Alligator mississippiensis: one gene and its partners. The protein of the gene in region 1 interacts with the protein of each later gene in a pairwise test. Links are inferred from orthologs where the notes say so. Each region holds a gene or a part of one and is shown in the gene's direction. Other genes may lie near its edges.

What was found.
Region 2: the proteins of EVL (region 1) and SPTAN1 interact in binary tests that used the Homo sapiens proteins (3 or more experiments, as listed by UniProt). The link is inferred for Alligator mississippiensis from reciprocal best matches to the Homo sapiens genes EVL and SPTAN1.
Region 3: the proteins of EVL (region 1) and TRIM9 interact in binary tests that used the Homo sapiens proteins (3 or more experiments, as listed by UniProt). The two-hybrid records come from large-scale screens. The link is inferred for Alligator mississippiensis from reciprocal best matches to the Homo sapiens genes EVL and TRIM9.

Annotation. Positions count from the first base shown.
Region 1 is NC_081825.1:282,649,246-282,656,154, forward strand, and holds the start of EVL (ena/VASP-like protein), read left to right. Parts: upstream 1-3,907; 5' UTR 3,908-3,922; coding exon 3,923-3,945; intron 3,946-6,909. UniProt on the Homo sapiens protein: Ena/VASP proteins are actin-associated proteins involved in a range of processes dependent on cytoskeleton remodeling and cell polarity such as axon guidance and lamellipodial and filopodial dynamics in migrating cells.
Region 2 is NC_081835.1:57,793,413-57,800,668, forward strand, and holds the start of SPTAN1 (spectrin alpha chain, non-erythrocytic 1), read left to right. Parts: upstream 1-4,254; 5' UTR 4,255-4,350; intron 4,351-7,256. Other genes in the region: mRNA export factor GLE1, read left to right, coding at 1-65. UniProt on the Homo sapiens protein: Fodrin, which seems to be involved in secretion, interacts with calmodulin in a calcium-dependent manner and is thus candidate for the calcium-dependent movement of the cytoskeleton at the membrane.
Region 3 is NC_081825.1:298,808,773-298,816,736, reverse strand, and holds the start of TRIM9 (E3 ubiquitin-protein ligase TRIM9), read left to right. Parts: upstream 1-4,962; 5' UTR 4,963-5,012; coding exon 5,013-5,837; intron 5,838-7,964. UniProt on the Homo sapiens protein: E3 ubiquitin-protein ligase which ubiquitinates itself in cooperation with an E2 enzyme UBE2D2/UBC4 and serves as a targeting signal for proteasomal degradation.

The DNA of each region.
Region 1 (6,909 bases):
TATTTTACATGAAACCACTGAATTGCTGTCAAATTGTAATAGATTATGGTACCTATCACTGCTTGAGCAACCTGGATTAGATTCAAACATGAGGAGTGGGATTCCTTGTTTGTCATTACCAATAATTATAATTGCCCAAATGTCCAACTAAGTCTGATTTGGATTTATTGTTCTATTCCACAATTACGGGTTTGGGTATGAGGTAGGTATTTATTTTCAGTTGTACTCTTCCCTGCTTACCCAGCTCAAACAAACGAGTTATCACTGAATTATTCTTTGCCTTTTGTGGTTTCTGATGCACACGGCTCCTTTTGTTCTCTCTTAGATACCATAAAGCCACTATTCGGTACTCTTACTCATGGATATCAGAAGTTGCAGTTTGATTGAGATCAGGGTTGCCAGCTATTTGTAAGTTTACAGACATTTTGTTTAAAAAAAAAAAAGCGATAAAAACACTTGTCTGGAAAAAGAAAAAAAAAAGAGAGAAAGAAAAGGCATGGAGCTGTCCATAAAAAAACTAAGAAACTATGAGCTTGATTAAAGATCTGTTATCAGAAAGAGGCTGGATGCCAGTGTTGATGGACAATGAGACCACAGCAACACCACTTTGTGTCTGAGTGGGTGAGCATCCTGCAGGGAGCTCTCTGTCAGGATTTGTGGGCCACAGGAGCCCCCCTTCCCGTCATGTGCTGCCACTGCATCCTATAGGCCATTGCCTGCTTGTAACAGCTGTTTGCCTCAAAGTGGGCAGGTCTGTGCAGTCTGAGGCACCAGGCAGGACAGGGTGGGTGGCAATGTCTGTGTCTCCTTGGGTGAGTCTCTTGTTCCAATGGACTGGGTAGTTTTGCTGCTGACTTAGTCTATTAACTGTTTGGGTTTCACTTGATGTTTAATGGTTAAGGTTTTCTCTATGGTTGTATGTTTATCCCTTGTTACACATGTAATAAACCCTGTTTTAGTAGAACATTACTTGTGAGTGGGAAAGTTTGTTCACTTTAGAACATCCAGTTACATTTGCTTTTCAGGTTTCTTGGTGTGGGCTCAGGCCAGATTTAAGAGTTGTTGTTAAACCCCTAAAGTCGAATGTGGCCCTTGTTACTGCCATCCGGAGCCTGGCAGAAAGGTTACATTCACGTTGCATAAAATACATCAGTTAAAGAATTGTATAGGTTGTCAGTAAAAAATAATAATTGTGTTTAGCAACTGTTTAAGAAGCTTCTGGCAGGATCATTCCATTCTTATTGATCCATAAGGCATTGACATTTTTGCTGCTCCTGTGTTCATTATACCTTTTAAAGTTATACAGACGATTGGGCATTCATACGCTAATCTTCATTGATGTAGACAATGTGACATGTATATGGTCAGATTTTTCCTCATCATGGGACTCTTCATTATTTTGTTTCAAGAAATTACAGTTACTTCCACTGTAGATCAAGGCTCCTAAATGGACGGTACAGAACTCTACAAGTAGCTGGGAAAACATTGGCTTGAAACTAAGGTAACTTGTTAAATGTCAGAATTTTCAGTAAAGGTCCACTGTTGCAAAAGCTTTCTGGAGGGTGTTTGCCCTTTACACCATCCTGCAGCCTGGACAGAGTGGCCATTGATGACCATGTCATGGTTTGAACAGCAGCTTGTTTCTTTGCATATTTGTTCATAGTGGTTGCAGCATCGAAAGTCATGACAGTGATTTAGCGAGCTCAAATCCAAGGGGGATATATTTTTTTAAATGCAATTCATTTTTATGGCAGGCATATCAAAACTGAACATTACACACACTGGCCAAGCTCACTTCCTCTGAAATCAACAGCAGTTTAGCCACTGTCTTCAGAGCAGGATTAGGGGCAAAAATTAGGTAGGCAACCCTCCTTCAGATTTTCTTTCTTTATTTCTGTGGGCTCTCTCCAGATTTAACCTTGACTTCGAAGCTGAAATCCTTGTTTCATTGTAGCTAAGGATGAAACTTCTATTGTTTTCAGTGGTGCCAGGTGGATTCCACTTCTGTGTCTAGGTATTTTACGTGCTTTCACCAGACTGTATTTTGAAGGAGGTGACTTTCTCTTCTGTTTGAAAGCTTCAGTCTCTTCCCTTCTTACACCACCTGAGTGGATCAAAAGTATTCACTTTTCATTTCACCTCTGCATTTTAATATGCATTTCAGAGGATAAAATACTTCTGTGGCCAAATTTACCCTTTGTTTACATCAGATATCAAAAGGGCATAACCAATGGGAAAATTTGACCTTGTGCATTCTAATTACTACAATATTGTAATGGTAATACAACTTTTTATAGCCGACATATCAAAACCTAACATTACGAACTGGCCAACCAGGGCATGTAATGTTATTATGACAGGAGTTTTTATTCCTGTTGTCACAACTTATTTTCTTTTACACAATCAAATTCAGTGTTTTTACTGTTCCTTTCGTACTTTCATCCCTAAAGAAAAACCCTCCTTGCTCCAGAAAAATTCAGTGCCAAGTTTTTGTTAAGATTCTAGTGGCGGTTGGCTCTCTTGGAGGCGTCTTCTTCTTTGAAGGCTCCTTGGGTTTAGGGTTAGCTTCTTGGAATCCTCCAATGAAGTGTCCTCTTTTACAGGTGCAGGTTCTGCCTAAACAGATAATGGCTTTGATCCTGTGTTTCTAGCAGTCTTAAGCTCCCCTCAAAGGTGGTGTGTGGCTCAGCAGGCAGGGAAATGACAGCTCTTTGTCTTCTAATTTTCCACTTTTTTTAGCAGTCATGCTTATTGACATAGGTTCTCTCTGGTTGTTACTGAAGAGCATATGATTCGTCTTTCGAAGCGTTCTAGGAGTGCGTCCTGCATCTTCCTGGGTTTTTTTTCCCCCTTTCTCTACATATAGTAGATGTAATTTTGTTCTCCATAGCCTGTGCTTGGAATATCTTTTAGCTCCAGTTTCTTGCCATAAAGCATTTGTACTTTGGTGGCATCCTTTCACACTCCCTTGTTCCATGTTTTCATCATGTGACTTCAAAGGCTTTAAGTTCTGTTACTGTTTTTGGGAAACTTTCCATTCAGATGAACATGTGTTCTCTTCATCTAAGAACTTCCCGGGGTGTTTTGGTCTGTGACTGGGCAGCTGAAGAATCTTGAATCACATGCCACAAATCACAAAATTGTCAACTCTTCCCATTTCTATTTTTATCTTATTTTAAAATGTGACTATTTGGCTTTTATCCGTCTTTCTTCAGTTGCACTCCTGTGATTTATTGGCATTAAAGCCTGAATTTGACTTGGCACATTCCACACATGTTGTTACAAATTGAATGTGATAGCAGAGAATTCAGGGGTGAAGGAGTTAAATGGTCAGGAATAGTCTGCAGTAGAAAAACTACTTAATATGTTCTGGCATTTATAGAAGGGGGGGCTTATGGTGCTAATCTTCTGTTGTGACACTGACAATTCAATATGCATAAAAAACACCATAAGATAATAAATATCACTGCAAGCTAAGAAAATCAGTGTAAATGGGCCTAATTAATCTATCAGATTGAAACATTAATACCATATGTTAGTTGGCTTTCTCTTTGTCCTCTGTGTGATTCTGATGTAAAATGTGAACAATCATTTAGCTACAGAGTCTGTCATGTAAAGTATTTGACTTATTTGGCTAGAATAATAAAGATACCGGGCTGTATTCTTGGAGTATACTGCATTAATCAGACTTGCTGGAATGATCACATGGTACTCTATCGCCTTTCCCTGTTAGCTGCTGCTTGTCAGCAGCTGGCTGAGCTGTAGGCTGCAGGCCAGTATCTGCATACCCTTTCCCTTCAGAATATTTGCAATATACTGTCTCTTAATTATGCATCTTGCTGCAGATTGACAAACTAAATGGTATTCCTGCACATTAAGAAGAATATTTTAAATTTCAGCGAATTTGTTTAGTTACTAGGCCATGTATGCATTTGAAGAATTCAGGTAGGCTCTCTGTTTTATACATCAGTGTGCTTGGTTTTTGTTCTCACAAGGTTTTTGCTGTGTAATGTCAGCCGGCTCTACAGTTAGTTCTTGAAGACGCAAATGTTTCTTGAATTTTAAAATATCTACCCTATGTGTTGTAAGGAATATCTAGGATGAAATGCAGGTAAACGATAGCTAACTGCATGATGCAGTGCAAAGCTGGATAATTTATTATATCTTGCACATATTTTATAGTCATATAACCAGACACTGCAAGTACAGTATAGAGTTATAAATATAAAGCAAACTGTTCTATTGAAAAGGTCTCTGCTATTTTTGGTTCCTTCAAACCTGACAGATGCTTGTTCTATAAGGAATAGACATCATGATAGTTAAGGGAGAAAATACTGATGTCTGGATCATATATGGGATTAGATTTTGTGCTGCTGCAGAGTATACATGCCATTTTCATAATCTTGTAGCTGCTGAATATCCTATGAATTGCATTAAAAATATAATCTGACTAATTTGGGGTTTGGGTGGGGTTTTGTTGGCAAACATTTGAAGTACTGTGATTGTTAAAGTACAAAATTAGGACCTTGTTGATTAGTGCTGTTCAGTAATGTACCTTCCCCCCCATACCTCAAATATGCATGCATCAAGGTCTGTTAAAATCATGACAGGCTTTTGAAGCTATATGAAAGAAAGCAAATAGAGGTACTAACATAATTGATGATTTAATCTGTAATGAAACTGTATTAGGGTCTATTAATTTTTTTTTGACCTTTCATGGGTCTTCACTTTTTTAGGTTTATATGGTTTCTTAACAGTCATAGCATAAAACTGGCCAGATAAAAATGGTGAAGTGTTATGACAACATCAGGGTCATCTTCTGCTATGTTGTCTTCCTATAGCAATAATTCTTTTATATTAATTTTATAAATACCCCTGAAAACACTGGCGGGTATGATATTACTTAAGTAGTATATAACTAGATGAGCTGATCAGTTTTGCATACACAATTGGCATTCTCCACCCAATTTTTTTTCTCTGAACTTTCAAAATTTCATACCAAATGTAGACAAGGTTGTCTGCTAATCTGTGCTTTGGCAAAATGACTAGGTTTTTAATGTTTTGATACTGAAAAATGTTTGGGGTTTTTTGTCTCATCAATTTCAAATGGAAATGAATGATGGGGGAAGGGAATTAAGAAATTGTCCCATATCCAGGTGTAAAACTGTGAAGAAATGAAGGCTTACAGTGAATAGAAGTTCTGCTGTTTGTGAAATGCAGCAGGATGCTGTTTCAGTAAAATCTTTTTTTAAAAGGATTTTACTGGAACACCATGTAGTACTATGTAACTGCAGTTGTCATAGGATTGTCAAGATATGATCACAAATTTTGATGCAGCCAATTGCTGACAGTAAATTAAGATGTAAATAGGCACCAAACTGACTAGTCATTATATATCCCTGTATCAATTCATAGCTATCTGTATTTCATCTATGGGATTTAAGCATATTATTAATACAGCAATGCTGTGATCAGATTGTTGCTAGAAAAGATACGCTTTTGAAGAGTCTACTTTAAAAGCTCTACCTGTTTTTTTGTTTTGTTTTGTTTGGTTTTTCTTGTGGTAGACCCATTCACATGAAGAGATCTCAGACAAAGACCTTTACTTAGTGTAGCAATGGTATTTAAATGCTGGTCTGCACACTGAATAAGACTTGTGAATTTTCTAGCCTTGTCCTCTTAGGCTTACTTTGAAAATAACATTGAAAATTGCATGTCTAAACTGTGAAGATATTTTAAGATCGTCCACCCATACGGGCTGTGGCGTCTGGTCAGTAGCCTTAAGACTTATATTTTATTTTACTAGGCATTTAAGTGGTGTTCCATTTTAGGTTATATCTTAAAGTTGGTCTTTTTTCAGCATTCTCCCTTATGCCTGGTAAATGTATTTCATTGTAATGAAACAATAGGATATCTTACAAGATAAAAATGTTTGGCCTAGTTCAGTATTTGGATAGAGAACCTGGAGCACCCAGGGGAGTGGTTCTCAACCTTTTAAAACACAAGGTACTCCTTCATAACGTTTCTGAATTTAGCAGCATCCAGTTGCAAAAACTGATTTTAATCATTTCTTGACTACATAAAAGTAACAGAGCAATTATTCTGTTGCAAAGAATTCAGAAAGACCACAGCAAGTCCAACTTTTTTGACATTATGGATTCCTATGTGAAGTCTCTCAGTTTATCTTGGGAATTATGTGTAGGTAGGTGTCTGTATACCTAATAGTGCTAATATTACTGTAACACCCCGAAAAGGATCTTATTATCCCCAGTTGAGAACCACTGATGTAGGGATGTAGAGTTGATGAATCAGTAGATGGCGCTCTTCTCTGAACGAAGGCTTAAATGGCATTAGAGGGCCCTAAATACCCATCAGACTCTGAAAAAGGGGTGCAGGCTAGCACTCTGGCTTAATTCCAAGTGGAGTGATTGCATTCTGTTTATTTAAGTTCCCCCTACAGTTTCAAGTTGATGCAGTGTTCTTCACTGGCCTAAATGGTTGTGGAGCATTGTGCGCTATTGCACAACTGTTGGATTTTTCAAGCGTTTCACTCCGGGGCTGGATGAAGTGACCCTGGCATGCTGTTTATAAAATACTTATTTGTGAAGTGCTTTGGGATGAAATATAGCTTTTGTGATGATGGGGTAATGAGCCAAGACTTAAGCCCCAGAGAAACAAAGGGATGAAACCTCAGTGAGAATTTACTAATTCCAGACGTGGCCCTCACAGGTCATGTTCTTGACAGGGAAGAAGGCATTAACTCCAGAGCACTGTTACTTCTTCCCTGAGAGTCGCAGTGACGCAAGGAGCCCTATGTCAGTAGTAACCTTGCCACTTTGCACCTTTTGAGGATCTGGTTTGTTGTCTTCATTGTTTGTTTCTTTTTACTGTGTCCAGAGGATCATTAGC
Region 2 (7,256 bases), on another chromosome or scaffold:
GTTTGCAGAAGCAGGAAATACCTTTACCGAAAGGTTCTCTGCAGTCGTCTTTCTGGAGGTCATGAGGCAGATCCTTCCTATTTTCATCTTCACAGGAGTCCAGAGGATTTCCTGGTCTGGCTTCCTGTTTCATTTGGGGACAAAATAAATAAAAAAATAATAATTTCTATTGTGTTTTTAACATATGTGGTTGTTTTATGTTGAACAGTGTTTCAGGAACCCTTCTTTGTCTAATTTATTTTGCAAATTATTTTAAACCATTCTGTTAAGATTTGATTAACTTTGTAGATGTTATTGTGCAGTAAATTATGGAATATCAGATGCTTCTTCATGTCTTTACTGTGTTTTTTAATAAGTGTCAAATGTGTGGAAAGTATCTGAAAGTTACACTGGACTCCAGAGTTTATAGTAAGCAGTGACACTCGGGGATTTCGCACACAATTGACAGTCTGTCCAGGCTTTCACGTGATGCCGTGGAAATGGAAGTACTTCAAGGTTTTATGGAACCTTAGTTATACTGAGGTCAAAATCTAAAAAATTAAGCTTTAAAAATCTATTTTTGTATTTCATGTGTGCAGTTGTTTAATTATGTTGATATGGTTGCATCCTGTGGAAAAAAATGTTTAAATTGCTAGCCTAAAAGTCCCCAAAAATAGGTAGAGGTGGTTAGGCTTACATGGCTGCTTTGATTTCTGTTGAATGTCACTCTGCTTTGAGAAACTCAGTATTATCTGGGGGGGAAATGCTTTTCTCTGGGGAAGACCTCTTAAAATGAACAACTTTTTAAAGTTTTAAAAACCTTGCTCTTCCCTTGCGAAAATGTTTTTATTTATATTGGACAGACTTGATTTTTATAATTACAGTAGGTGATACGTTGTTTGCTAAAGAACACTTCACTGAACAAAAAAAGCTTTGCAGCTTTGTGAGTAAGTAAATAAATTAAATGTAATATTTTCACCAAGAGTTTCTAGAGAAAATTCTGCATTCATGATCCATTGCATGAACTGAAAGTTAGGGTTAGTCTAAAAAATAAGCATGGAAGAATACTTAAGAGACCGTACAGATACTTTGCTTTCATGTGAACAGAAAAAGGAGTTTCCTTGGCTTGTTCCAGTATGAACTGAAAGGTAACACAGACATATATTTAAAAACAGCCTTTATAATTTTAACCAGTTTCTTTCTTAACAAAGAATATATCAATTTAACTGCAGATTGTGTATACAGTAAGGTGATAATTTTATACTGTGCTAATGTAATGGATTATGATGAAAATAGTTCATTTTAGAAACTTACTTGGAAAAAATATTCATGCTTAAACGTTGCAATGTTACTACTTCCTGTGGGTGCTTCGGAAGGTGAGCAAGTGAGGCTCTGAGAATCTTTATTGGGTCACTCCATGGGGCATATGATTATGGTAAGTGAGATTTGGATGTGATCTTTAACATTTAGCTGATGGTATGCACTCCATGACATACCTTTCAATGGCCTATGTGAAATCTGTTTATCTAGTTCCTAGCTTCCATGGCTCTGCACTTCAAAAAGCCCTTACCATCCTCACAACTGGATAGCAAATTGATGCTGACAGGGGAAAAAATAAATGAATAGGGAAATTAAAATAACATCTCCGGAGAGGTGGCATACCCACAAATAGCGTTGGGTAGTCTGGGAAAGCTACTGGCATTGCATGTTATGTGTCTGTTTGAATAAATAGACCAGTAGCTTTTACTCCAGGCCCCTATCCTTCCTGCAGCTTTTCCCACCACATTCCTAATATGCTTCAGTCATATCCTGGATGGGCCATTTCAGATGGGGAGATAGTAACTTAGTTTGCAAACTTCTTTATTTAGCCTCTCTGCTGAGATTTAACCCTTTCTAGTGAGAGCTGACACCTGTATTGAGGTTTTGTCCTAATTGAAAATGAAGCGGGACTGCACAGAACTCATTTTATATGGTCTGTGTAACAGCTATCAGATGGTTGGCACTTACTCATGGTTGACATGGGCTGTATTTGAAGCAGTGAGAAGTGAAAGTGTCTCTTGTTCCAGACTCCCCCGGCTTATTCAGTCCTCTTGATGCAATCTTTAATTCAGAAATGGTAAATATAAAGGCTGTTCTTTGGTGAAGTTATTTACTGACAGTGCTTAAGCTACAGTGTTTAAAATAATATGCATCTAATAGCTGAAACTTTCTAGAATTAATTCTTCCAGGAAGTGGAAAAAGTGTCCTTGGCATGCAATCTAGTTTGATTTTTTTCTTTTCTTTTTTTCTTTCTTTTCCTTTTCCTTTCCTTTTCTTTTCAGGAGGAGATTTAATAACTTAATGCATAGCTCAGTTTTACCAAACTTACCAATAAACTCAGTTTTATTTGTAGTCTTGTGGTATTTATCTTTTTAAAGCTGTTGCTTTTGGAGTCAAATGATCATGTGAGAATCTCAGATTTCATTATTTTTAATAGCAAGTTTCTACTTCTCAAAGTTACTGAGAAATGCTTGGAAAATGTGATCCATGTGTCTGAGAGGCTCAAACCAGAACACACATAAAAATTACTTAATGTTTATTATTGATTTGTAAGCCCATTTCATGGTTTTTGAGGCCTGACTTTGTATGTGTTTGGCAAGACTGACAATTGTTGTAGAATATTTTAAAGGATATTTTGGGGAGACTTTCAAAGGCATAAAGAGCAGTTATATGCTCAAGTACTATTAGTGCCTTGATAAATCTTATTCATTGCTTATTTTTGCATAGTTCTTTCTGTACAGAATAAATAAGATTGTATTTAATGACATTATGAATATCTGACAGTTATGATGTTGTTTAGCCATCTTGAATCAATTGTCTTTATACTGTTGTAAATATTAAAGATTTTATTTAGCTAATTTCTAAAATGTGTGGATCATGTTTTATAACAATACTAAAGTTGGGATGGCTTCCCTCCAAGTTACAGATAGAAATTATTTTGGTAATGTATGTGCTTGCTTTTGATAAATAACCAAAGATATTGAGCTTCTCTGCCTTAGTTTCAAAACTCCTTGCCTCTTTTGAGTGTTTTTTTCATATGTACTCAATAAAAGCTTTTAGTTAACCAAAATAAATATTTTTGTAATGATAAGCATTTATGTATGTAGCCTTTTTAGAGGTAGCTCAGAAATGTTGGGCTCTACTGCCTGATGTAAATCAATTCTCTATTTTTCTTGTATCTGCTTTCACTGTTTATTTAACAGTTTTGAGCATCGACCATCTTGTAGTATCAGGATGTCTTGAGGTATAAGAAATCCAAACAGTGAATTTTTATAAACATGAATGTATTTAAATTGTTATTTTAAATATTCATGTGGGAACCTCTGTGCTTTCAGGACCTGATCCAATCGCAATTACTGACTCACGGTTGCATTGCAGCCAGACAGGTTCTGATATATAACGTCAGTGGCAGATTTTTGTCCTACAATTTAATGTTCTCCTGTGCGGTTGTTAATGTTTTTAACAAGAAAGTCCTTAAAGCTAAGAGTCCGCTCCCTACAAAAAATATATATATATATATATATGCATATTTGAATGGGACTTAAAAATACGTAAGACTAAATACGGTCTACTTAATGTACATCTCCTTAACAGGTTCGGCTTTCTTGCTTTGGTTTTAGTTTGTCATAGCAACACTCTTAAAAGAAAACGAAATGGAAGTCTTTGCCGGTGGAAGCCCTGGCCTCTATTGAAATTCTGGTCTCGACTCGAGCGTGTCCTTTCTGCCATTTCAGTTTTGCATCGTTACGTCCTTGCTGCATCCTTCCTCTTCTAACTCCTGCAATTGCTTCTGGGTCACGGCAGAAATGCAAGCTTTTCCTAAGGCTGAGGGTGCTTTCAATGTTAATTTTGTTCTTTATATCTCTGCTGCAGCACCTTTCAAAATGACTAGCACAAATGCAATGAATGGAAAAAATAAAAAATACCAACCGAATTTGAGTTTTTACAGCAGCTTTCAGGGACACAAACGAAACCAGCCCAGCCTAGCCCAGACAACCACAACCCCTGCTGGGGCAGCTCTGGCAGCCAGGCCTTACACAGGCTCGGCCTGCGCCCAGGCCGCCCCTCCCGGGCCGCTCGTCTCTTTCCGGAATCGCTCGTCTTTCTCCGGCTTCCCTCGGCAGTGCACCGCCTCGGGTGGGCGGGGCCCGCGCGCGCCGATCCCCTCCGAGGCCGCTCGGCTCCAGCCGTGCCCAGGGCGCGCTCTGCGGCGCTGACGTCACCCCAGACCGCCCTATAAAAGGGACCGCGGCGGCCGGCGTGAGCAGTCAGTGTGTGAGGGCCGCGGGGAGTGGAGAGGTGAGGCGCGGCGGTGAACCCGGCACAGACCCGGTGAGCTGGGGCGGGGATGCGGGTCGGAGCCGAGCTCCCTTCCCCCTCCTGACGCAGCCGTTAGAGGCAGGTGCAGCGGCCCTGCGCCCGCCGCCCTCGAGCGGGGAGGGGGTCGCGGCGGGCCCGCCCCTGCGGCAGGATCCCGCTCGGCGCCCGAGCCTAGGCGAGGCCCGGCCATGGTCAGCAAAGCCCGAGAGTGTGGAGGCGGCGGGGCTGCAGACCCCCGGCCCTGGACTGTAACCGCACCCACACAGCTCGGTCCTTCCCCCTCACCCCACGGGGAGAGGCTGTGGGAAAAACAGCTCTGGTCTTCCAGCCCCGCGTTGTAGGGAGGCTGCGAGCTCCTGGGGACTGTCCCTGGCTCATCTGGTTTGTTTGTTTTTTCCTCTTCATCCTGCAGTCCCAGAGCATCGCCCCCGCGGTGCGGTGCTAAAGCGCGTCCGTCTGCCCGCGGCTGCCCCGCGCAGGGCGGGGGAGGACATGAGCCTTGGCCTGTCCTTCCTGCAGCCGCTCCTGCCAGGATTCAAAGAATAAACCCTTTCTTTGATATTCCAGGTGTCCCCGCGTGTTTTGCTGCTGCTAATCGGATGTTGTTGTTGTTGTTGTTGTTGTTGTTTTCTAATTGGAATATTTTTTTCCATAGAATAATGTTTTCCAGTTCATTCAAAATAGACCTGATGCAGAGCAATTTGCCAGGTAGATTTACATTGGAAGACAGTTGTGCTGAGGTGGAGGATGGACGCAAAGGGGGAGGAGGGGGGAACCCTGGAGAATGATGCTATATCTTTTTCTGGAAAAAAATCTCTTACATCAAGACTGTTCCTTATGGCTTTGATTCCTTCTGGTTCTGCCAGAAGATTTTACTGATTCCTCTTGTGAGAGGCCTTGATCAAGGCTTTGGATGGCTTCAGAATATGTTTCTTTAACAGAAAAATTGCTGGGTAGCCTTGTCATTTAGCTGCAGTTAACAAATGGGTCTTGCCATGAAAAATTGCATTGAGTGAAGCGTATGTAAGATGTGTGCAGAAAAGAAGGAACAAAAGGATTGAAAAATAGGAAGGTTTCTGCAGCATCGTGAAAAAGTCTCATAAATTTGGCAACAGCAGTGCTGGTGTATAGAAAACGATTGAACCCAGATTAGGTAGATGATGCTTGCTTAATTTACGTCTCTGCTGCAGTAGCAGAAGTCATACATTTGGAAGGGTAGGCTTAAGACTCTATTGATTTAAAAAAAATGTAGATGGTGCATTGCTTTTGAGCTCCTTAGTGTGGTGCTCAGAAACAAGATCAAAGCAGCAATAAAAAACAGGCTGAAAGAGGAGTCTTAAACCTTGTTTGCCATCTTTCCCTTTGTACAAGGAAGGTAAAAGGAGTCTCATGCTTTTCAGACAGGTTGGCACTTCTGGGTATGATGATTCATATTGGCGAGGTTTTGTGTTTTATAACCAGCCCTCATCACTTCATGAAAATAAAACTGTATAGAATTTTATAGCTAGTATTGCCTGTAATAGACTAATAAAACAGACTCATTTTGGGGATGATAAAATATTTGACTTCCCATCAGCTTGGGGCAAGTAATTTTTAAGTGTTATGCCTTCCCCCACCTATAGTAGAACATAGGCATTTGTTTTTTCCATTTGCCCAGGAGCAGGCATCAGAATAATGGGGTGGAGCAGGCTGCAGATGCTCCTGGAGGAGACTGCAAAGTGCAGGTCAGCACTGTGCTTCCATGGCTGACTGTGGATCAAATAAAGTGGCAAACTGCCTTTTTACTGCTGCAGTTGATACACATGATGCTGTGGAAATGCCATGATGAATAAGCAGTAGCTCCAGCAAGCACAAAGGCACATAAAACTGCAGTTGTCCATGTACTACAACGCAGATTGCAGTGTACCCAAGGGGAAATGCAGGCTAGAGCCTGCAGGGAACTGAACAAGTAATAGCACAGTGTATTGGCCAAATCTGCCAGCTATTAAATGAGTCCCCCCAATTTTTCCTGTTTATAGATGTTATTTGTGTGCATGTTACAAGAGAGATTAATCTTCAGTGTTTAAGAAGGCATTTAATGCTTGTGCATTACATGTTTTTAAAATCTTAAATTTAAGCCGTGCTAGCATTTGAATCTTTATTTAACAGGTTGCCACAACTAGTTGTTTTCTTTACTTGTTATTTTGTCCTTTTAATTTTATTTTTAGGGGGTTTTTAGTTGAAAATGTGTATGCATCTTAAGCCAGCTGTCAATAGCATTCATTTCATTGTATTACTGGTTTTAACTTTTATGCAGAAGCCTGCCTCACAGTTGTTCCAAATTATTTTATGGCTGGGGGAGAAGAGGTGTGATTCTGTGATACAATTTTTGACAATGTACATGCTTTACTTGCGTTCTAAACATTTATAGTTAGTGGAATGTTATCTTGGTTTCAGACTCTCTACATTCCACCAACATGTTGTCATCATTTCGTAAAGTCATAGTCCAGGTATTTTTACAATATGCATGTAGTAGAATTGCCATTTTTTTGATTTGCCTGCCTCATTGCAGTGATGACATCCTTGTACAAAAAGCCACTTGAGAGTTTGTGTGTATATAGAGCATAAAAATAGAGCAGGTACTTTCTTTGCCCTTTGGAGTGCTGATTCTGGAATGCTTTTAATCTAATATTACTGCTTTCTTCCTTCTGCTGTGAAGCATGATGCTTACACATTGTGAATTCCTTATGATGGTTTTGTATGATCTTCTGCTTCTGGTGATGTGGATTTTAATTTTCTAAAAGATAATTTGCCTTAAAAAGCTATTGGCCAAGATAATATCTTTGATTACAGCATCTGAAAATCTACTGTAACATACCACATATTGAAAATACTGTAAATCAAAAAGAGTTGACTTTTGTTCCTGCCCCATTCTTTGA
Region 3 (7,964 bases), about 16 Mb from region 1:
ACTCCGAAAGAGGGAAACCCTTTTTTGTGAGTGCCTAGTTCTCAGCACATCTCCCGTTTCTGAAGGAGACGTGATAGTGCCTCTCTCAGCATGCGTTTCAAGTCATGCTGGGCAAAGACTGCAAGACCCTTCCTAAATGAAGTTCCTCTTCTGTTCTGCATGATCCAAAGCAAACAATTAGCATCTACTCCAGCCTTGATGGCTTTCTTCACATAGGCAATCAATCCAGCACAAAGCGATGTATAGTGGATGCTCGTGCCCTGTGTGTCTGGAGGTGTGTTGTGCAATAATATCTTAGGGAAAAAACCCACACGGCTTCATCAGATATAAAGAACGCAGCTACCATGTCATCCGAAACAGCCCGGAGAGAGCTTTCCTCGGCAGCCGTAAGCTTCTGTCGTGTCTTGTTTTGGAGCCCACGTCGCCAATAAGGAGGCATTCGTGCATGTAGTGATAGACTGCGCACGTGCTCCTGGAGACGATTCAGGCTGGGCTCTTTTTAGTCCATACATGATACTTCCAACACAGGAGCTAAAGAAAAGTACCCCCCGCCTCCCCGAGCCATATTCAGGTGGCCTCAGCACCAGTATTGGAAATGAGGAGTAAAGGAGAGAAGTTGCCCAGCCTCTGGGGAGCCCAGCACTGCCTCTGTATGTGACTGTAGCACCCCAGCCCTTATCCCCAGATCAAAAAGGGGGCGTCTGAAGGGCAGAGCTCGCTCCCTCTGGGTACTTCCCAATAGATCCATGCTGCATGCCCCGAGCAGGGAGCACGCCACACCTCTACCCTTGCAGATCGTCCCTGTGAACAGTCTGCAGCTCTTGACATGCCTTAAAAAGAGTCCGAATCTGTGGGTGGGGAGGGTAAAAATAAATGATGCCAGGGGAGTGCGGCCTTACCTGAAGGGCTAAGTGCAAAGACCAAAGCTGGGGAGGCTGGATGGGTGTAAGAGCTCCAGCAAGGAAAGCCTGTCCCAGTGCAAACCCGTCTGTATGCAGCAAGAAACTACGGGGGGAGAGCAGAGGAAGCCAGTGGGAGATGCGGGCGTGATGGGCAGCAGCATCACTTCCGTGAACCACGCAGCAGTCGGAGCCTGTCTGTGCTAAGATGCCCGCCATGGCCACCCCCTGCTTTCCCACGCTCCTTGGAGCCAATGGGTCCCACCTCCTCCCTCCTGTATGTGCGCAAGGAGAGAAATGAGGCCTGGCTCACAGTGCTGCCTGCAGTCAGTCTGCACCCCCTCAGGTCGGGGAGATGTAGCGAGCCAGCCTCAGTGTCCCCTTCTGTGCCACCAAACACCCAGTGGTCACTACAGCTTCCAACCCCAACCCCTTCCTCCCACCCTTAACTATGCCAAGGCAGCCACAGGTCCTCTTTCACTTGCTTTACCTTTCGCCCCTCCACTGTAGGGTGACTGGGAGCCTTGGCTCATCCGCTCCCCTGAGCTCCAGGGAGGAGCTCTAGGGACCCTACCATGGGCAGGCAGGCCTCAAAGGCACCTCCAGCAGTGCCAGCCATCACCTAGTTCAGAGACAGGGTCGTCCCAATGCAAAGCAGCCCATGGAAATCCTTGTCCAGCCTATTACTAAAACTACATAGGTGACCCTGTCACACAGCCGCAAAGCACAGCACCCGAACCTGCCCCAGGTAAAGCAGAGGACCGTGGTGGCCAATGTCCCCTTGCTGTAAAAGTTGCTAATACATGCTAAGAGGAAGGCAAAACCCCACAGCCCATATAATCTAATCAGGGGGCAAAAGTCCTTCCTGACCCCAAATATGGCATCAATCTGACCCTGAACAGAAGGGCAAGGTGTTCAAGCCAGGGACCTCCAAGTTGACATCCTGGAAGGAGAATTGGCACTGCCCAGTCACAACCCCCAGCCTGGGCTGCAGCCAACACTCATGCCTCTGAGAGAGGTGGAAAACCCCTCCAAACACTCAGCCTGTCTACCCTCTTCCAGCTGCAGGGCTTTATCCCACTTAAGTCCAACACCCAGCACAGGTGCAGCATGCAGGACTAAATGAACGGGGCTGGCCAGTGCCAAGCTGCCTGGCCCTGATCCTGTTTCAGTGCTATTCATGCACCCACACCGCAGTGGGCAGGAGCTGCCCTGTGCTGAGCGACGTCGGATGAGAACTTGAAATCTCTGCCCGGCTCAGTAGAGTCGTATTGCAGATCCCCCCCGCCTTTCTAACAGGCCTGTTTTATGCACAGAAAAATCATGGCTGTGCCTTGCTAACAGAAAACTTCCCTTCACTGCACACCCAGTTGCATTGGTTCCAGACGAGGGGTTTTCAATCTTTATTCATTTGCAGACCCCTACAAAATCTCAAATGGAGATGTGGACCCCTTTGAACTGTAAGTGTGGGGATTCACATACTGCTGATTGATCACAGTCATCTTTCCTGGAGCCCTTAGACATAGTCTGCAGGACCCCAGGGGTCCACGGGCCATAGGTTGCAAACCACTGGTCTAGATGCAGCGCGTGCTTTCTTCTCCTCCAACCTCTCTGAGACATCTGCATGGTGTAGCCCGGGCACCGTGCCCTCTGCAGTTCTGCACTTGCCTTATTTGCTGCAAAAAACCCAGCCTAGGCGCTACCCACCCTAACTTACACATGCAAAAGCACATTTAAGCCCAGGTCCTGGAAGCCCTTATGCACGTGATGACTTTTAGTTGCACCCATTGACGTGACTGCATTCTACTTCAATGGACCCTGTGCATGCAGCTTAAAGTTAAGCCCGTGCTTACGTGTTTGCAGGAGAGCCCAGGTGCTACCGAAGGGACCCATCTTACTGTGAAACATATGAGAACATCAGAACTGCAGTTTACTGGGCCAGACCATAAGACCGGCTGTTGACCATAGACAATAGACCACAGTCCATCTTGCCCGGTCTCCTGTGCCACACCGGGGCAGAGGCTTCCTTCAGGCAGAGGGTTGAGCTAGTTGATCTCAGAAGGTCCCTTCCAGCCCTGCTGCTTTCTGCTTCTGTGAATAACCCCCTGGTCCAGTGGAGTGTGACTGCTCCAGGGCTGGCACGGGGCACCCCTGCCGTGGGTCAGGCTGGAGGGCAAGGGCAGGCATTTGGCCCGGGGGAAGGGGTGGTGGCACCTCCACAACCAATCTGTGCATGATGGCCCTTCATAACTGCATATCATCAATAATACATATAACTCCCTGCCAATAAAAATGAAGGCATGCAAAGAAAAATAATGACATGCAAAGAAAAATAAGGGGACGTAAATACAAATCATGACATGTAAATAAAATAGGGGCATGCAAATAAAAATAACAGCATGCAAATAACATAATGGCATGGAGATAAATAATGGCATGCAAATAAAGATGATGCCATGCCAGTAAAAATAAGGGCAGTTAAATAATGATGCCATGCAAATAAAGATGATGCCATGCAAATAAAAATGATGCCATGCCAAGAAAAATAAGCACATTTAAATAACGATGAGGCCATACAAATAAAGATGATGTCATGCAGATAAAAATGACGCCATGCAAATAAGAATGATGCCATGCCAATACAAATAAGGTTGTTTAAATAAAGATGACGCCACACCACTAAAATAAAAGCAGTTTAATAAAGATGATGCCATGCAAATAAAGATAATGTTACACCAATAAAAACGATGCCACACCAATAAAAATAAGGCCATTTAAATAAAGAGGATGCCATGCCAATAAAAATTATGCCACAGCAATAAAAATAAGGGAAGTTAAGTAAAAATGATGCCATGCAAATAAGGATGATGCCACACCAATATAGATGACACCACACCAATAAAAGTAAGGCGGTTTAAATAAAGATGGGCAGGGGGTCGGATGTGATCTGTTCAGGTCCCTTCCGACTCTACCAACTATGAAACTATGATGCCACACCAATGAAAATGATGCCATGGCAATAAAAATAAGGGCAATTAAATAAAAATGATGCCATGCAAATAAGGATGACGCCACACCAAGAAAGACGATGCCAGTAAAAAGAAGGGCATTAGAATGAAAATGATGGCATGCAAATAAAAGAGTGGCCCGCCCAACAAGATGACGCCACGCCGATAAAGACGACACCACGCCAATGAGACTAAAGGCGTTTCAATCAAGATGACGCCATGCAGACAAAGATGACGGCACACCAATAAAAATGACGCCACGCCAATGAGGACAAAGGCGTTTCAGTCAAGATGACGCCACGCCAATCAAGATGACGCCACACCAATTAGAATAAAGGCGTTTCAATCAAGATGACGTCATGCCAATAAGAATAAAGGCATTTCAATCAAGATGACGCCATGCAGATAAAGATGATGTCACACCAATAAAGATGATGTCATGCCAATGAGAATAAAGGCATTTCCATCAAGATGACGCCATGCCAAACAAGATGACGCCATGCCAATAAAGACGACCTCACGCCAATGAGAATAAAGGCGTTTCAATCAAGATGACGTCACGGCAATCTAGATGACGTCATGCCAATTAAGATGATGCCACGCCAATAAAGATGACGTCACGCCAATGAGAATAAAGGCATTTCAATCAAGATGACGTCATGCAGATAAAGATGACGCCATGCCAATAAAGATGATGCCACACCAATAAGAATAAAGGCGTTTCAATCAAGATGACGCCATGCAAATAACGGTGACGTCAGGCCAATAAAGGTGACGTCACGCCATCCAAAGGCAGGTGACTGTAAATACAAATAAGGCCTTTGCAATCAAAACAGGGCATTTCCACGTAACCTGGGCACACCCGTGCCAGGGCGGGCGAGGAGGAGGACGCGCAGTGCTCGGCGCTGCACGCCCCTGGCCCTGGCCCCGCCCGCTGCGCAGAGCGGGGGGCGGCGGCCAATGGGAGCGGGGGGGCGGGGCGCGGGGCGGGGCGGGGCGGCGCGGCGGTGCGCTGCGCTGGGAGCGGCGCTGGCCGCAGTGCCGGAGCCGGAGCCGGAGCGGGAGCCGGAGCCGGTCGCTGCCCGCGGTGCTGAGCCGTGCCCCGATGGAGGAGATGGAGGAGGAGCTGAAGTGCCCGGTGTGCGGCTCCTTCTACCGCGAGCCCATCATCCTGCCCTGCTCGCACAACCTGTGCCAGGCCTGTGCCCGCAACATCCTGGTGCAGACCCCCGAGGCCGAGTCCCCGCAGAGCCGCCGCGCGTCGGGCTCCGGGGTCTCCGACTACGACTACCTGGACCTGGACAAGATGAGCCTGTACAGCGAGGCGGACAGCGGCTACGGCTCCTACGGCGGCTTCGCCAGCGCGCCCACCACGCCGTGCCAGAAGTCGCCCAACGGCGTGCGGGTCTTCCCGCCGGCCGTGCCCCCGCCGCCCCACCTGCCCCCGGCCGCCACGCTGGCCCCCGTGCCCCGCAACGCCTGCATCACCTGCCCGCAGTGCCACCGCAGCCTCATCCTGGACGAGCGGGGGCTGCGTGGCTTCCCCAAGAACCGGGTGCTGGAGGGCGTCATCGACCGCTACCAGCAGAGCAAGGCGGCCGCGCTGCGCTGCCAGCTGTGCGAGAAGGCGCCCAAGGAGGCCACGGTGATGTGCGAGCAGTGCGACGTCTTCTACTGCGATCCCTGCAGGCTGAGGTGCCACCCGCCCCGGGGCCCCCTCGCTAAACACCGCCTGGTGCCGCCGGCCCAGGGCCGGGTGAGTAGGAGGCTGAGCCCCCGCAAGATCTCCACCTGCACGGATCACGAGCTGGAGAACCACAGCATGTACTGCGTGCAGTGCAAGATGCCTGTGTGCTACCAGTGCCTGGAGGAGGGCAAGCACTCCAGCCACGAGGTCAAGGCCCTGGGCGCCATGTGGAAGCTGCACAAGGTGAGAGCCCTGCCCTGCCCTGCCCTGCCCGGCCGCGGGGGGGCTCGGTGTGTGGCAGGCCCCTGAGGGCCAAATCCTGCACTTCGGGGTCCGCCCTAAGGGTCTGCCACTGGATGCGGTCCCGTGCCCTCGCTCTGGCTGCGCATCTGATGCTCTCCCTGCCTTGCAATGGGGGACGGCTCCGTGGGGACACGTCCCCACATGCCCTCTGCCAGGGGTTGGCACGTGCCTGTGCTGGGGAAGGGGTGCACCGGCGTTCCCCGTCCGTCTTTCCTCCCTGCTCGGCGTGCGTCCCCAGGGCTGGGCCGGGAAAGCAGCAGGGAGGGATGGGCCTGCCAAGGGCCCCCACGAATGGGGGGAGAGCCTGCCCTGGGGACCTGGGTGAGCATGGAGGCATGAGAGGGGGCAGGCAGAGCCAGGGCTGCCCGCTTGGTTGCACACAGATCCGCCACAGGGCAGCATCTCCCTCTGCTTCATGCGTCCCCTCTCCGGTAATCCGGGTCTGTGTGGCGTGTGGCTGACCCTGCCTGAGGTAACTAGGGCAGAAATGACAGGGATGCAGAGAGACACGGTGCGGATCCCCCGGGAGCCCCCGCGCAGCGGTGTGGGAGAGCTGCCCCGGCCCCTCAGGAAACGCTTTCCAGGAACGCTGCCGTCCCGCCGTGTCATGTGCGGAGGTGTGGAGGCAAAGAGCCCCGTGGTGGAGCACATGTGTGGGCAGTGCACGGGGTGGCATGGGGGAGCGAGAAGGGCAAGGGGGTGCTTCTGACGGCCCTCGGGGCTGCTCCTGCAGGGGCGATGCCCCAGTGGCTCTGGGAGCGCGGTCTTCCTGAGAGCATGCAGTGGGGGGAGGGAGTGCGTGCGTGTGTGTGTGTGTGAGTGTGAACTCTGTGTGCATGCATGTCCATGTGTGGCCCCTGTGTGAGTGTGTGTGTATGTCCTCCTTGTGTGTGTGTGTGTCCTCCTTGCATGCGTGCGCGTGTGCGTGTCCTCCATGTGCATGTGTTTGTCCTCTGTGTGTGTGTGTGTGTGTGTGTGTGTGTGTGTGTGTGTGTCCCCTCCATGGGTGCATGCATATGTGTGTCCTCCAGGTGGTTGTGTATGTGTGTGTGTCCTCCATGTGTATGTGTGTGTGTTGTGTGTGTATCCCCTCTGTGTGTGTGTGTCCTCCGTGTGTGTGTGCATGTGTTTGTCTTCCATGTCTGTGTTTGTCCTCCATGTGTGCATGTCCTCTGTGTCTGCACGCATGTGTGTCCTCCATGTATTTGTTTATGTGTCCTCCACGTGTATGTGTCCTCCGCATGGGTGGGGGGGTGGGGGGTGTGCATGTGTTTGTCTTTTGTGTGTGTTTGCCCTTCGTGTGTGTGTCATCTGTGTGTGCATGCACGTGTGTCCACCGTATACATGTGTCCTCCACGTGTATGTGTCCTCTGCATGGGTGTGTGTGTGCATGTCTCCCTCCCACAGCCCGATGAACAGGCTCCCCACTACGACACTCTGGTGCATGTCCTCATCCACCCAGTGACACCAGTCACCCCTGGGTGTCGGGGCCTCCCTGGCTTTCTCGCGGGGGCCAGGAACAAGCGCGTTTCCCATGGAGGGGCGTACTTATGTATTGCGTTACGCTGAGCCGCGCATCTCCGTACAGCCTTGCAGTCGAGGGATGGAGGCGGATGCGGGCCCTGGGGAGCTGCCTCCCAAACAAATATCGCATCACAGGCGAGCAGTGACATCACACGGTTTGGCTATGAGTCTATCCAATTTAACTCCTCCTCTTCTTGGCGTTGTTAGGGCTCAGTCCAGCTGAGCTCTTTAATTAAGTACATGCATAACATTAAGCCTTTGAAGAAGCCTCGTTAGCTATAAAAGGCCCGTGCCTGCAGTTAAGCCCATACTAAAGAGAGGGGCTTTAGTCCCTTTAATGAATATAGAGAGTCCTAGGCTGACCCCTTCATGAGTGGATTTTAACTCAGCTGCTCTTCGGAAATGAAGCCGAGCGGAGATGCTCTTTTGGAGGCCTTTGGTGTCACCGGAGGTGATCACTTCCCTTGCATGTCTTAGCTTCCTGAGCCGGATTTCCGAACATTCGGTCCGGCTGTGCTTTCTCCTGAGTCACCCTGCCGTTCG